2 linked regions of the Nothobranchius furzeri genome follow. The main gene of each other region encodes a partner of the protein of the gene in region 2 in a complex. Links are inferred from orthologs where the notes say so. Each region holds a gene or a part of one and is shown on either strand. Other genes may lie near its edges. The genes, in order: polr2k and gtf2h4.

Region 1 (8,070 bases), on a different chromosome or scaffold from region 2:
TGAGTTCAGTGCAGTTAAATTCAAAGATTTAAATGTTTTTATCAAGCATTTGACCTAAAAATTAAAGGGTTAATATGAACACGCATAACCAGATCTATATCTATATAATTACACTTGGGGGTTAATTTAATCTATTAAAAACATGAAAATATGAAGATTTGGCCCTTAAATTGTATCAGGAGTAATTAATTGGCTAGTTTTTTGTTATTGTTTCCTCTGCTTTTAAAATTTTGTTATTCTTTGCACCTCTTCCAATGAAAAAAATATGGTTTAGATAACAAATTAAGACTTAAAAATCATAAGCAAGTGAAAAGAGTTACAAGTTGCTGTTTCACTTGTTAACATACTGCGTCTTCCTGACTATGTCAATTCATACTTTGCTATTCCTAGGCCACTTCTGATTTGTACACGACAAATCGTCTTCATACTCCAGGGTTACTTGTGGAGTACCACAGGGTTCAGTGCTTGGACCAATTCTTTTTACTATATATATGCTCCCAATTGGTAAAATCATTAGACAGCATGGGATAAACTTCCACTGTTATGCTGACGATACTCAGCTATATTTATCCATTAACCCTGATGAACCTAATCGGTTGGGTAGATTACAGGCTTGTCTTGAGGACATAAAACATTGGATGACTCTAAACTTTTTGCTTTTAAATCAAGACAAGACGGAAGTTCTCATCTTTGGACCAGAAATCCAGAAAAGGAAATTGCTTAGCCAATCGCCTGACCTGAATGGCATTACATTAATCTCCGAGAACAAAGTAAGGAACCTTGGTGTTATCTTTGACCAGGACATGTCATTCAAATCCCAGGTTTCACAAGCTTGTAGGACTTTCTTTTTCCACCTTCGGAATATTGCTAAGATTAGAAGCATCCTTTCCAGGAGTGATGCTGAGAAACTAGTTCATGCATTTATTACATCAAGACTGGATTACTGTAATTCATTACTTTCAGGAAGTCCACAGAATGTAGTCAAAAGTCTTCAGCTTGTCCAAAATGCTGCAGCTAGAGTTCTGATGAGAATTAAAAAGAGAGATCATATCTCTCCTGTCTTAGCTTCCCTACATTGGCTACCTGTTAAATTCAGAATAGATTTTAAGATAATCCTTCTCACATATAAAGCTCTTAATGATCAAGCTCCATCATACATCAGTGATCTGATTGTTCCATATGTTCCTAACCGAGCAATTCGCTCTCAGACTGCAGGTCTACTGGTGGTTCCAAGAATATCTAAAATTAGGATGGGAGGCAGATCTTTTAGTTATCAGGCTCCTCTCCTGTGGAACCAGCTTCCAGCTTTAGTCCGTGAGGCAGACACTTTGTCTACTTTTAAGAATAGGCTTAAAACATTTTTATTTGATAGGGCCTATGGTTAAAATCTGATGTTAGCCTAAATCTGGACAATTGGGGGAGTAGAGGGAGGTGGAGTGTACAGTCGGTAAAGACGGCTCTCCCTTGCCCTGACTCCAACATGCCTCCAACTAAATAGGATAGATTATCCAGAGTTATCTCTGTAGTTATGCTGCTATTGGCTTAGACTGCTGGAGGATACACTGACCACTTTTCACACTCGACTACTTTCTTCTACAATCTGCTCTTTAACTGCATTATTTTCTGCAATTTCAGCTGTTAACTTTATTTTCTCTGTAAGTGTTTTTCTCCCCAGAAGAAGCTACAACAATGTTCTGCTGAGCTGTGGTGGCCTCATGGAGGGGGCCATCGACTAGCACACTGCTGCTAACCACTAAAACATTATCCCTCTCCTGATAATAACTTTTTGCTTTCCTTGACGTGCGATGTGCTAATACTAGTTTATCCGTTTAATTATAGATCCACTAGAACAAACACAATAAAGTTTATCTTTCACCAAATAGAATATTTACTAAGACATCACAATATAACTATAGACACATTACTTGTCTTTGTGTGTGCGCGTGTGTGAGTATGCGTGCGCACGTGTGTGTGTGTGTGTGTCTTTGTGTGTGCGCGTGTGTGAGTATGTGTGCGCACGTGTGTGTGTGTGTGTGTGTGTGTGTGTCTGCTCTGTCTTCTCGATCCCCAGTGAGTCGTGGAGGATGCCTGCTTACACTGAGCCAGGATTCTCTGGAGGTTTCTTCCTGTTAAAAGGGAGTTTTCCTCCCCACTGTCGCTTTATGCTTGCTTAGTATGAGGATTGCTGTATAGTCACTGACACTAGTCAGTGACTTGATGCAATTTGCTTGGTTCCTTATATAGGAAACATTATTTCTGATTGGCTTAATGAACTGACCTGGATTGGTATGTTTATTATGTGAAGTGCCTTGAGACGACTCTTGTCGTGATTTGGCGCTACATAAATAAACTTGAATTGAATTGAATTTGTAAAAGCTAACAAAAACCTTTTCTTCACTTAAATATTTTTGAGTCAAACGTTTTTGAGAAACTGATTTTCTTTCCACATTTTATTTAGACACTTTTTTTACAATCTTCTTCGTAACTAAATATTCTTGTTACTAATTTCTTCTCTTGCATGTTTGATTAAAACAAGTCTCACTTAGAAATGAGACCCCATAATTTAACAAGATTATGAAAATTTTAAAATAAACACGACAACGTGCTCTCAGATAAACAAACCAAAAAACATTGGTGAATCTGTGAATTGTTGGCCAGCAGATGAGAATTTTCCTTCTTAGAGAAATGTGGTTAAAACTTTGAATTTAAATCCTAAAGGTTGATTTTTATTTCAGGAATGACTGTGGATCATATCTATTTAGCAGATGTGTTAAACTAACTGAAGAGTTTTCATCCTGTTAATGTTGCTGGCCACAAAGGATTTTAAAAGAAAACAGTCAAATCAAACTGATTTTTCTAAAATAAAACTTTTATGCATCATTATTATTTACTAAAATAACATAAGGAACACCTGACACAAACCGCGGATGCCAAAAACCAAAAAGGCTGAATTTATCTTGCTGCTCTAAGATGTTTCAGCAAGAAGTGCAATTTAGGAATGCCACGACCCGAATGAGCGAGAATCTACACCAACATGAAAGCTGAAGCCCCAGTTTATGTTTATTTACAAGGTCAGACTCAATAAAAACAGAAAACAACAACTAAAGATCAATCTGCAGCTCCACTCCTCTTCATCGTGCATCAAAAACAACCACTGGAATCAATGAGTCAAGGAAAATAAGCACACACACACACACACACACACACACACACACACACACACACACACACACGAGAGAGAGAGAGAAAGGATACATCTCTTTGTTCTCTTCTTGTACATGATTCTGTAGCCACATTCTCTGCATCTGATCGGGTCGCGGGCCTTTATTTCGTTTTCAGTGTGACACTCTGCATAAAAAAAAAATATATACATTTATAAAGACATATAAATGTATTTCAGAACTGCTGCAAAATTAATTTAGAACAGTATAATTGTGCAAACACATTAACAATCGACGTTTACATGCTGTCAGGCTAAAATGGAATATTTACTAATAAGAAATATGTTTTAATTAGTCATAACTAGTATTTTTCTGATGACTTTTCTATATTTCGTGAATAAAACCATCAAGAATTGCAATGATAGTTGCTTCATCAGCAAACCTCCACAAATGTAGATCATTGGTTGCTGCTTGGGCGGCTGTAGATCTTTCTGTGTGTCCATTTTGTTCTATAAAAGACAGAAATGTAAACATTTCATCAACAACCCTTCTTCTTGTTAGCATGCTAACAGAAACAGCATGGTGCTCCGGACATTAGCTCAAAACTGCATAAACGTCTCTGAATTTGGTGAAACTGTATACGCACAGAGCACAAATTAAACCGTGTACATGCATTTAGTTAATTACTGATGAAAGGAAGCGAAATGACTCACCGTTTAACTGCGTAATTTGGGAAATGTTTACTGTTTTCACACACTAAACCATCCGCTTTTACGATTGGGTTTCTGCGCTTGCGTCAAATTTCTTCTTCTTGGTTTTACAGGACGATCGACACGCTTTACGTGCCTTTACTGTCACCCAGCGGTTTTGAGGCATTGTGAATTATTCGAAACACATCTGAACTGATTTTAAAAATTGGAAGCAAAGAATTTTTTTTTGTATATTTTATACTAAAAATGTTCCTGTCTTGACACAACATCCTCTTGAAAGCAAATCCACAACACGGGTGTTTCATTTTTCAATTACCGTTACGCTACAAATTCTGGCTTAATTTAGTATTCTTTTGGGACCTTATGAATAAATTAGACTTTATTTAGAGTTTTTGTTTTTGACTCGAGCCAAACATTGTCAATCTGATTCGTAATTGTGTTTTTGTAAAATAAAACAATGTAAAGTGCGCTTCCGTCCCGACAGGGGGCGCTGTCGCAGCGTCGAACACAAGAATGTCCATCATTTGAAGAGCTCCCCCCAGCTGGCCCTCCTCCACTAGTTTGTGACAACAACGAATCTGCCGACAATGTCCACGTCTTGACTACCACTGACAAACCCGCGCTCTCTTTTTCATACTTTGTTTGACTTTTGTTTCCGAGTTGGTGTACCATGGAGCCGTCCGCGCCTAAAAGGTTTGTGAACGTTTGCTTTGAGACCTCTGCTTTACCACCAGGCTAATGTAGGCGGTAGCTCAGGATGCTAATGCTAAGCGAATTCAGTTCTCTCAAACTTTCCACAGAGATAAACAAGCAGAAAGTAAAAACACAAAACCGGTTAAAACCTCCATTGAGATTATGGTTTGTTTAATTGTTTAGACGTTTTTGGATTTCGCGTCGTTGGGGGTGATTTCATTGTCGCTTCAAAAATATATAATAAATTAAATGTGTATTAAGGAAAATCATAATTTATTCGAAGTAACTGTTTACTTTATTTTGGACCGATCTATTTACTGGTTAGCTTAAGCTAGCACCTTTTAAGTTAATTAAATTTAAAATGTATTTAAATTTTATAAGACAGTAGGATTAAATTGTTTATTATCTGTTTAATTTGTGTACATTGATACTAGGTTGCATTAAATCCAGATTATGATCAAAGACCAAAAATATCTCAAAATTTTTTTAAACAGTATTTTTATCTAGATTTCATCAATTATTTTCATCATTCCTCTTAAGTTATAAACACACACTCAAGTTCTCCTACAGAAAGTAATGTTTACTCTATAAAATAAACTTTGATGTGCATATATAAAGAAATATTGTGTCTTTCTTCCATTATTAAAGAGACATTGTGTTAAATACACAATATTTTTGCTGAATTTTTCAGCAAGCTGAAAAAGCTGAGCGAGGACAGCTTGACCAAGCAGCCGGAGGAGGTGTTTGATGTTTTAGAGAAACTTGGTGAAGGGTGAGATGTTTTAACTTGATCTAATTACTGTGTAAATCATAGTTTATTTAGTAGTTTCACTTAAAAGATGCATTTCTTTGTGTAATCAGCTCCTATGGCAGTGTATTTAAAGCCATTCATAAAGAGTCAGGGCAGGTGGTGGCCATCAAGCAGGTTCCTGTGGAGTCTGACCTGCAGGAAATCATCAAGGAGATCTCCATCATGCAGCAGTGTGACAGGTGACACCCCAACTTTCTTTAATTCTAATGAATGAGACTGTCCAAAGTCGCCTTTGCACCAGTTTTTTAGAACCACGTTTGTTTGCCTTCCTCTTAGCCCGTATGTTGTGAAATACTACGGCAGCTACTTTAAAAACACAGATCTGTGGATAGTCATGGAGTACTGCGGAGCCGGCTCTGTTTCTGACATCATCAGGCTGAGAAACAAAACGGTGCGCGTTTCTAAAAAGTTACAGCTTGGCTCATAAAATAGGTTAAATTGCTGATTTACTTTTGTATTTTCCTTTTTTTCCCACGTCAGCTGACAGAAGAGGAGATTGCCACCATCCTCAAGTCAACACTGAAGGGTCTCGAGTATCTTCACTTCATGAGAAAGATCCACCGCGACATCAAGGCGGGAAACATCCTTCTCAACACCGAGGGGCACGCCAAACTGGCTGACTTTGGCGTTGCAGGACAGCTTACGGTAACACTGTCGCCAAATGTTTGCAGCAATGCACTGATGCCAGCTTCAGTCGATCTCTGGCTGAATTTTGATGGTATGTGTTTAATGTCTGAAGGACACGATGGCAAAGAGGAACACTGTGATTGGGACGCCATTTTGGATGGCCCCAGAAGTGATCCAGGAGATCGGCTACAACTGTGTTGCAGACATCTGGTCTCTGGGTATCACATCCATAGAAATGGCTGAGGGTAAACCTCCCTACGCTGACATCCATCCTATGAGGGTGCGTATTCTTTAGTTTTTAATGAATTTAGGGTTTTAAAAGAAAACATTTGACACTTTCCCACTTTTGATTTCCCACAGGCCATCTTTATGATCCCCACCAACCCCCCTCCTACGTTTCGGAAGCCGGAGCTTTGGTCAGACGATTTCACAGACTTTGTAAAGAAGTGTTTGGTTAAAAACCCAGAGCAGAGAGCAACTGCAACTCAGTTACTACAGGTTGGAGCAAGAAGGTCTTCATCTGTACAATCCTGCTTCCAATCTGAGCGATTTAATTTCCTTTTCCTGTTGTGGAAACGCAGCATCCGTTCATCAGCCAGGCCAAGCCGGTCACGATCCTGAGAGATCTGATCACTGAAGCCATGGAGATGAAGGCGAAGAGGCAGCAGGAGCAGCAGAGAGAGCTAGAGGAGGAAGAGGACAACTCTGTACGTTTTGTTCACGTGCATTAACCAATAAAGTTCCAGTAAAACGTTTATACTGCAGGGGTTTGTCTCCTATAGGAGGACGAGACGGAGGTGGACTCTCACACCATGGTGAAGTCTGGAACCGAGGGCGCGGGGACCATGCGAGCCACCAGCACCATGAGCGACGGGGCACAGACCATGATTGAGCACAGCACCATGCTGGAGTCGGACCTGGGCACCATGGTCATTAATAGTGATGATGAAAACGAGGAGGAAGCCCAGAGATCCATGAGACGTGAGCACATATTTGAGAGAATGAGGGGGAATTTAAACATCTCTTTCACTTTGCTGCGTGAACTTGGCTTTTAACTTTGGTTTAAATGGATGGTGTCGGAAAAACTGGCTTCTTTCCAAAGAGGAAGAAGTGTTAAAACCATGCCCTCGTGACTGCTGATGCTACAAACGTGCTCTTTCACGTCAACCTTTTTGTTTTCCCACTTCACTATAAAGCAGCTCTTTGTCTGCTCTGACCTTCCGTTTTCCCTGAGGCAAACCAAAGCTTTGGGGAAAAAATTCAACACAAGCTCAATCTGCAACAGTCTCAAATTTTTGACATGCAGGATGGAAGCTGGCAGCAGCAAAATTTAGATGCATGTCTGCAAATTTGTTCAGGGCTCCAACTTGGAGTCAGGTTGGAAATGTGGGCAACTCGCAGCCTAAAGGTCTGTGCCGTCTCCAGAATGCTATGCTTAATCACGTGTGGTCGCAAGCCCTATTGGCATGTTCCAACCAACTTCAAGTTCAGCATTATATAGACACTGGCCATGATCATGTTAACTACAGAACAAAGTTAGCCACAGCTATGCTACTTGAGCTAACACTAGCACCACCCTAAACTACTGCCAACACTATCCCGAGCTACAGCCAATGCTATTCCAAGATACTGCTAACACTATCCTGAGCAACTGTCAACGTTGGCCTGAGCTACTGCCAATGCTAGCCCAAGCTGCTGCCAATGCTAGCCTGAGCTACTGCCAATGCTAGCCCAAGCTGCTGCCAATGCTAGCCTGAGCTACTGCCAATGCTAGCCCAAGCTGCTGCCAATGCTAGCCTGAACTACTGCCAATGCTAGCCCAAGCAGCTGCCAATGCTAGCCTGAGCTACTGCCAATGCTAGCCCGAGCTGCTGCCAATGCTAGCCTGAGCTGCTGCCGACGCTAGCCCGAGCTACTGCCGACGCTAGCCCGAGCTACTGCCGACGCTAGCCCGAGCTACTGCCGACGCTAGCCCGAGCTACTGCCGACGCTAGCCCGAGCTACTGCCGACGCTAGCCCGAGCTGCTGCCGACGCTAGCCCGAGCTGCTGCCGACGCTAGCCCGAGCT
Region 2 (8,727 bases):
TTAAACAGTATCAGAAGTGATAATGAAATCACACAGACTGGGAATGTAAAGCAGTAAATTCATTTTAAAAACACAAAGATATTGCCTATTTCTCCAACCTGGTGTCCCAGAGCAAGGGGAACCCCAAGGTGCTGTTTAACCCTCTGGAGGCAGGTGTTGCAGATTTGCAACATTAAAACCTACCTACCTGGTTACTCCACATGCGTATTTCATGAGCATTTTTTAACTCAGAAGTACCCCTGAAGGACTTAGTTGTTCGTCCTTTGATCAAAACTTAATTTGAGCCTGTGAGGGTTAACACCATTTCTTTGCCTGAGTTAACGAAACTAGTTAACTCTATGAAGACCTCTGCATGCCCCCTCGACATCTTACCCTCATCTTTGTTTAAAGGTGCTTTTCAGTCCATCGGTCCCAGCGTGCTCTCTATAATTAATGCTTCTCTGGTTTCTGGTTAGGTCCCTGCTAACTTTAAGAACGCTGTAATCCACCTGCTTCTTAAAAAACCGAGTCTCGACCCCTCTCTCCACAGCAGCTTCAGACCCATCTCTAAACTGCTGTTCATCTCCAAGATCTTGGAAAAGGTTGTGGCTAAACAACTCACAGCTGCTCTTGATGAACAGAACATCTATGATAGCTTCCAGTCAGGTTTTCGTAGAGCTCATTCTACTGAAACAGCTCTTCTTAGGGTCTCTAATGACCTTCTGACTCACAGTGATGCAGGGGACTGTTCTGTTCTGGTCCTGCTGGACCTGACTGCAGCCTTTGACACTGTTGACCATCACCTGCTACTGGAGAGGCTGAGAGACTGGGTAGGCCTATCAGGAACTGCTCTGGAGTGGTTCTCCTCTTCTCTTTCTGAGCGTTCCTTTTCTGCGGCCGTCTCCAAGTTTAGGTCCTCCACCACCTCTCTTACCCATGGTGTCCCACAAGGTTCTGTGCTGGGGCCTCTGCTCTTCCTCTATCTGCTTCCTCTTCAGCACATCCTGAGCTCCTTCAAAGGAATCTCCTACCATCTTTATGCAGATGACATCCAACTGTACATCTCCTTTAAGCCCCATGAGATGTCTAAGCTGCAGCTGTTACACACCTGCTTAGACTCTATAAAAACCTGGATGGCTGGGAGCTTTCTTCAGCTGAATGAAGATAAGACTGAGATCCTCATCTGTGCCCCAGACAAGCTGGTTCCCAAAGTCAGAGATTCTCTTGGTCAACTTGCTTCTCACACCAAACCTTCCGTCAGGAATCTTGACGTGACCTTTGACCCAGCTCTCACCCTGGATTCTCATGTCAGTTCTCTTGTTCGCTCTTCCTTCTTCCATCTCAGGAACATTGCTAAGCTGAGTCCCATTCTGTCTCGCTCTGAACTTGAGACAGTTATCCACACCTTCATCTCCTCACGCTTAGACTACTGTAACTCTCTTTTCACGTGTCTGAGCAGAACCTCCCTGAACCGTCTACAGGTGGTTCAGAACGCCTGTGCTCGGCTTCTGACCAAGTCCTCCAAACACACCCACATCACCCCGCTTCTCCTCCAGCTTCACTGGCTGCCAGTTAACTTCAGGGTTCATTTCAAGATCCTGGTTCTGGTCTATAGGGCCTTACATGGACAAGCACCATCTTACATTGGTGATCTTCTTAGTCCCTACACCCCCAGCAGGTCCCTGAGGTCCAGTGATCAAAGCCTACTGGTTGTGCAGCACCAGGCTAAAGACCAAAGGTGACAGATCATTTGCTGCTGTGGCCCCCAGACTCTGGAACTCTCTCCCCCCGAGCCTGAGATCAGTGGACTCAGTGGTCTCCTTTAAAAAGCAGCTGAAGACTCACCTGTTCAGGCTTTGGTGTGACCTTCATCACCAATCTCTCCTTATTCCGCCTTTCCTGGGATCCATTTTAATATTAATTTTCTCTCTTACTTTCCTTACATTTTTGAACACATTTCTTTTTTGTCATTTTAAACATATTTAAAAAAAATTTTAAAGATCTTTTTTATATTTAAAATTTTTGCGAAGCACCTTGTGATTTTTATCTTGAGAGGCGCTATATAAAAGATAATTTAAAAGAATGGAGCTGCCTGGTATTTTAAAATTTTAAAAACATCAATATATTAAGTTATGTGTACATAGCAAGTCTCATTCAAACACCAAACCATGGCCTAGTTTGTGTTGCACTCTGAAACACACACATCAGTTGTTACTGAGAAGCTACTAGCTAACTGTAATAATAAGCAAGGGCTCACATGGACTATCAACAAGATCCCTCACCTGACATTTGGGCAGATGTCTAGATGTGTAAAATCAGATCGACTCAATAATGCACAAAATACTTTAAATACTGGCAGTTAGGGTGTGTGTGTACCTGCTGAGCTGTGATGCCGTTGGCGATGGCCTGCTGCACCGACTCTCGTGTGAGCTGAGCCACCACCACATTAGGGAACCGATACAACATCTCGCAGAACAGAGCCACAAGAGCAATCTGAAGTTCTGAGTCTGAGAGGGAAGAAACCCAGTCAGTTGGTCCGCGCTGCACCAGGGTTTTTAGCACACTGTTACAGTTTAACAACACAAAATCATGTAAACAACAGACTCAATAACAAGAAACAAACTTGGCAGAGCCAGGGATAATGAGACAGGAAATCTAGTGGAAGCACCTGCAGACAGATACAACTGCTTCAGAACTGCACCAGATTAAAAGTGGACTACGGAAACCAAGCCTGGCCTTCTGTGAGTTCTTCAGGTCATTTAAAGCAGAAATCCAGCATTTTTTTCCTCAGAGGACACCATCTAGAGGCCGGCTAATAAACTGTACGTTAAGCAATCTTGGAATATGCCCGTGCCATCAGGGAAGATGGAGTAACCTGGTCATTCAGTATACTCAGGTAGTCAGCTGACCTCATTCTTGGAGCACATCCTGTTGCTGAACCTAGACCAGACCACCTGCAGCAAGCCCAGATCATAGCACTGCCCCCACAGGATTGTAGACACTATGCATGATGGGCGCATCACTTCATCTGCCTCTCTTCTTACCCTGATGCACCATCACTCTGGAACAGGGCTCATCTGGCCTTATCAGACCACATGACCTCCGTCCATCGCTACAGAGTCCAATCTTTATGTTCTCTTGCAAATTAAAGCCTTTCTTTCCAGATTGCTCCACTGATTAGTGGTTTTCTTATGGCTACACAGCTGTTCAGTCCCAATAACTTGAATTCTCCTTGCATTGTGTGTGGGAATGCTCTTACTTCCACTATTAAACTTAGCCCAGAGTTCGACTGTTGTTTTTCTTTTATTTGATTTCACCAAAGGTTTAAGTGATCACCTATCACAATCATTCAGGATTTTTTTTACCGGCAAAATTTCTTCCTCGAAGACATTGGGTCCCCACAATCCTTCCAGTTATTAATAAAGCGTCGGACAGTTCCTAACCCAGTTTTAGTCGTTTCTGCAATCTCCTTATGATGTTTTCTCTGCTTGATGCCAATGACCTGACCCTTCTCACACAGACCGGTACCAAGTCAGAGCAAACTCACATGTTGGTTCTTCAGAACAGTTAGCTTTGATGGTTTATTAGGATAAGGTTTTATTCAAGTGTGTTTTATAACAGATACGTGATGTATAAAAAAAAACGGTGTTGGTGACACTGGTGGTTAAGTACCACTGGTTCCTCAGTGAGTTAAGGGGCAGCAGTAGCACAACAGGTTGAGTGGGTTCTCCAGTGATTGGAAGGATGCAGGTTCGATCCCGGCTCCGGACCGAGAATTCTGCTGTTGTGTCCTTGGGCAAGACCAACGACATATAAATATTGTACAATGGGTTTCCACAGGCTCCAATAACACATTTTTGAAGATAAATGGGAAGTGGCCACCACCGCCATTTTGACCGTGTCACAGGTTCCGTCAAGCCCAGATAATTCCAAAAATGGGAAAAGAGGTGGAGCTGTAAGGCTGGGATAAATTGACGACACCCGTCGAACTGAAGTGATGTAGCTACAAGCTAACCCAAAGCTAACGCGGAGGTGGGAGTTAAGCTAACGGAGGTAGCAACCTAGCTACAACCGGAGTTAATTGTGCACAACACCGGAGCTTCTGAGTCAGAGATACGCCGGGCTGACCGCTGGGTAAAACCGGGTGGAACACAGAGGTCTCCGAGACCTCCACAAGCCGGCAGCCGCACAGCAGACAGGCGCGGCTGCGATCTGAGATGCGCAGAGCTGCCGCTGGGGAGAACCGGGTAGAAAGGCTTCCATCCCAGAGCTCCACAAGCCGGCAGCCCGCACAGCAGACAGAAGCCGCGATCAGACAGAGATGGACCAAGCTGCGGGGAGGGGAGAACCGGATGGAAAACATTGGTTTCCCGAGAGCTCCACAAGCCGATAGTGGGAACCCAGCTCCACCAACATGTTATATTTCAACCCATTTTCTAAAGTGCAGCATTATGTTAAATGTACTGGGTTTTACCCTATTACATTTAAATTTCATGGTTAAACAGTACATGTTAAAATCTAAGCTCAGCTCGGCAGTGACCTAAAATACATAAATATAATTTTACTTACAGTAAAAAATCAAGTCGAGACTCCTTGGACGCTCTATTAGTGCAATTAATGCCACAGCAAGTCATTTTGTCCAACAATTGCACAAAAAATATCCAAAAAAGAATACACAAACACGGAGACTCAAAATCCCGGAGCAGTTTCCAGGCCAGACCGAGGCTCTGCTGAGGCCTTTCCACGGAGCTAGCTCTGTGGTCACGTGGGTCTGATGCTCATTAATTATACAGAATTTTAGGCTTTTAATACACTTAAACAGAAGAGTGAGAAAAAAATTCACCCCCCTCAGAGTTGTCATGAGTGTAAACTAGATCATTTAAACAAAAAACATGTTTTGGTACCAGGCTGTAAACATGTTTATTTCTGCTGTGAAATTGGTATTTTTAACATGGGAGTCAATGAGGATTTGCTCGCTTCTGACACCAGCCCCTAGTGGATGAGGGTGGAACTGCAATTTTTGTCACTTCCGCGTTTGCCTCAATTTTTCACCCGCATTGTGGGGGCTTGGGCAAGACACTTAACCCACCATGCCTGCTGGTGGTGGTCGGAGGGACCGGTGGCGCCTGTGCTCGGCATCCTCGCCTCTGTCAGTGCGCCCCAGGGCAGCTGTGGCTACATTGTAGCTCATCACCATCAGTGTGTAAATGTTAGTGTGAATGGATGAATGATACACTGTAGTGTAAAGCGCTTTGGAGTCCTTACTCTGAGAGACGCTATGCAAGTGTGGGTCATTTATCATTAAATCGTGCATCTCCAGGGGACCTGGGGAGAACTCATCACTACAGAACCTGACAAGGCCTCAAAGGAACTATTACGTCCCACTTATGACTGATCAAGACAAAAAGCTAAAATCTTCTGTACTACTCAGAGTCTCAGAGCAAAAAAGGAGTTTGTACGTACTGGTGTAGGCGTAGATACGATAGTTCGTTTCCACAACGATGAAGCCTGCGTCTGCAGTTTCAGCAGGCGAAGAGGAGGAAGAGGAGACTCCAGCAGCTAGAGTGATGGCCAGTCTGGTGGGGTAGTACCGTCGGGACTTTCTCTGCATAAACACCAGGAATTAATTCAATTCAAGTTTATTTATATAGCGCCAAATCACGACAAAAGTCGTCTCAAGGCACTTCACATAATAAACATTCCAATTCAGGTCAGTTCATTAAGCCAATCAGAAATAATGTTTCCTATATAAGGAACCCAGCAAATTGCATCAAGTCACTGACTAGTGTCAGTGACTATACAGCAATCCTCATACTAAGCAAGCATAAAGCGACAGTGGAGAGGAAAACTCCCTTTTAACAGGAAGAAACCTCCAGAGAATCCTTGCTCAGTATAAGCAGCCATCCTCCATGACTCACTGGGGATGGAGAAGACAGAGCACACACACACACACGCAAATGCACGCACGCATGCGCGCACGCACACACACACACACACATGCACACACACAAAGCAATGTGTCTATGGTTACATTGTGATTCCTTAGTAAATATTCTAGTTGGCAGGGATAAACTATTGTATTTGTCCTAGTGAATCTATAATTAAACAGGTAAACTAGTAGTAGCACATCCAACGTCAAGGAAAGTAAAAAGTTATTATCAGGAGAGGGAGAATGTTTAAGTGGTTAGCAGCAGTGTGCTAGATGATGGCCCCCTCTACGAGGCCACCACAGCTCAGCAGAACATCGTTGTAGCTTCTTCTGGGGAGAAAAACACTTAGAGAAAAAATAAAGTTAACATCTGAAGTAGCAGGAAATAATACAGTTAAAGAGCAGATTGTAGAAGAAAGTAGTAGAGTGTGAAAAGTGGTCAGTGTATCCTCCAGCAGTCTAAGCCTATAGCAGCATAACTACAGAGATAACTCTGGATAACCTAGCCCTTTTAGATGGAGGCATGTTGGAGGCAGGGCAAGGGAGAGCCGTCTTTACCGACTGTACACTCCCCCCCCCCCCCCCCCCCACCCCCACACACACACACACACTCGTCCAGATCTAGGCTAACATCAGATTTTAACCATAGGCCCTATCAAATAAAAATCAAACACCCAGCAGGGGAATTCAATTCATTACTCTGACCTCAACTTTCAACTGCTGGCTTTCCTCTCTAACCCTAACCACCGCCTTGTTTCCACTGAGTGGTACGGCATGAGTCGGTTTGCTATTTAGTCCGTTTCCACTGTCAAAGTGGCCCATAAAACCAACCCGTACCACCGCATTCCTGGGCCCCCCTTCACCTGTAGGTCTACTGGATAATGGAATGGATTATTTAGGGCAGAGCTACAGATCAGTCCATTGACTGGGGGACAGAAAAACATCCCTGCTAGTGAAAAGACCGAAAACACCGGAGTGCTTTTTTTCACTCACCTCGTTGTACAGACGTGAACCACAAGAACATCTACAACACTGGATGTAGATCAGGGGTGGTAGTCCCTGTACTTTCAGAGAGGGAACCAGAGTGTGTGTTCCAACTATAGTGGGACCACACTACTCAGCCTCCCAAAAAAGGCCTACTCCAAGGTTCTGGAGAATCGTTAGTTGATATTTGAATCTCAGACTGATGAAAAGCTAGCCTGGCAAGCCAGACTAAATAAATGTATTATTTAGTCTGGCCACGCTCCATTGACGGCTCTCGGTTGTGGGGCGGGTTCTACCGTTGTCTTTCAAATGATCTCTGCATGCTACTGGACAATGAATGTGACATACTCTTGTTTCACTCTGTTGCATCATCCCACCCACCAGGCATATAGAATAACCCTGATTGGCCCACAAAGCGGCTAAAGCTCTGTGATTTGTTCACTAAGCAGATGGAGCACTATGATTGGCCCACCAGAGGCCTGTAATTTTCATCATAGGTAGACCTCAACTATGAGACAAAATGAGAAAAAAAAATTTAGAAAATAATTTTGTCTGATATTTGAAAAATTTATTTGCAAATTTTGGTGGGAAATAAGCTTTTTTTTTTATCTCCAGCAAGATCTTGGCAATAAATGAATGCAACACTGGACAGAAACAAATCTTAAAACATTGCAGAAGCGTATTGAAACTATGGCCGATACAAAACATGTTCAGCACTAAATCCCTCCCACATATTTCTTCAGCTTTACTCTTTATTTTTATTTGTGTTAGGAGTGTTGATAGAAGCAGTAGAGACCCACATGGAAGCACAAATGTGAGAGCTGAGTATTTAACTAACCCAAGTGAGCAGTAGACATATCAGTTTGGTTCAAAAGTAACAGAATAAACACAACCACTTAGTTTTCCTCACCTTCCTCTGGAACACCAGACCAAACTCTCGAAGGTGCTGCAGGAACGTAAGCAGGGACTCACTCATGCCCTCCACAGAGTAGTCCTAAGGCACACAGCGGAGGACAGAATCATGAGACGTGGCAGGAGATGACTCCCTGATGCTATGGCATCCAGTCCTGGGGCCCCGGTTATAAAACTTTGTGTAGCATCGGTGTTAAAACTCTACTTAAGCTAAGCAAACAAATTTTACTAATGCAAACTGTTACTTGGACATACACAACACACACAGCTGCACACAACTCCTGCTTTAAGAAACAACTCTTCCTCAGGTGATTTTGGATCATATCCTGACTCATACTCACCCACTTCCTGCCATAAATGGACGATGCAAAGAACTATATGAACACTCTGCATAGAAATAAGCCAGCTGATCTGTGGCTAAACAGTTACCCATGGCAACGGAGAAGTCTAGACAACGCTGTTTCACAGAGGCTAAAATCGATGTGCTTGTAGGCGAGGTAGAGGCACGAAGAAACCTTTTATTGCCTTTAGGTGGAACAGCGTTGTTCCAGCGGTGATCTGTGAGACTGACCAAGAGATCCGGGGTGTTTATGAAAAAGAAATAGTCAGATCTGAAGGTGGCAATGGTTCTTTTAATGATGCATCCAAATCAGCTGCATAATGGTTCTTTTGACTGAGATATTCCACATCTAATGGGAACATTAAATTTAACCCAAAGGGGTTTTAGGCTGGAAATGTCCTATTTTGGTCATCAAATCAAAGGAATATCTGCCTGTGGGCAGATTCCCACTGGAACGAGCCGGCTAGACAAAACCCCAGAATGCAGCAGTTTCACTGCTCTGGCAGGGCGGGCAGTCCGACACCGGGCCCAGTTCAGTAAATAGATCTACTAGGTCTGCTCTAGAAGAAGTCTTCATGGTCTC

Evidence for each region.
Region 1: gtf2h4 (region 2) and polr2k share a complex: the UniProt entries of both Homo sapiens proteins name them as parts of the TBP-based Pol II pre-initiation complex. The link is inferred for Nothobranchius furzeri from reciprocal best matches to the Homo sapiens genes GTF2H4 and POLR2K.

Annotation. Positions count from the first base shown.
Region 1 is NC_091759.1:1,438,175-1,446,244, reverse strand, and holds polr2k (DNA-directed RNA polymerases I, II, and III subunit RPABC4), read right to left. Parts: upstream 4,007-8,070; 5' UTR 3,875-4,006; intron 3,671-3,874; 5' UTR 3,665-3,670; coding exon 3,604-3,664; intron 3,349-3,603; coding exon 3,256-3,348; intron 3,155-3,255; coding exon 3,132-3,154; 3' UTR 3,036-3,131; downstream 1-3,035. Other genes in the region: stk3 (serine/threonine-protein kinase 3), read left to right, coding at 4,542-4,564, 5,256-5,336, 5,426-5,554, 5,652-5,766, 5,856-6,020, 6,115-6,282, 6,363-6,500, 6,584-6,709 and 1 more. UniProt on the Homo sapiens protein: DNA-dependent RNA polymerase catalyzes the transcription of DNA into RNA using the four ribonucleoside triphosphates as substrates.
Region 2 is NC_091751.1:25,567,141-25,575,867, reverse strand, and holds part of gtf2h4 (general transcription factor IIH subunit 4), read right to left. Parts: intron 7,887-8,727; coding exon 7,803-7,886; intron 5,585-7,802; coding exon 5,443-5,584; intron 2,487-5,442; coding exon 2,356-2,486; intron 1-2,355. UniProt on the Homo sapiens protein: Component of the general transcription and DNA repair factor IIH (TFIIH) core complex, which is involved in general and transcription-coupled nucleotide excision repair (NER) of damaged DNA and, when complexed to CAK, in RNA transcription by RNA polymerase II.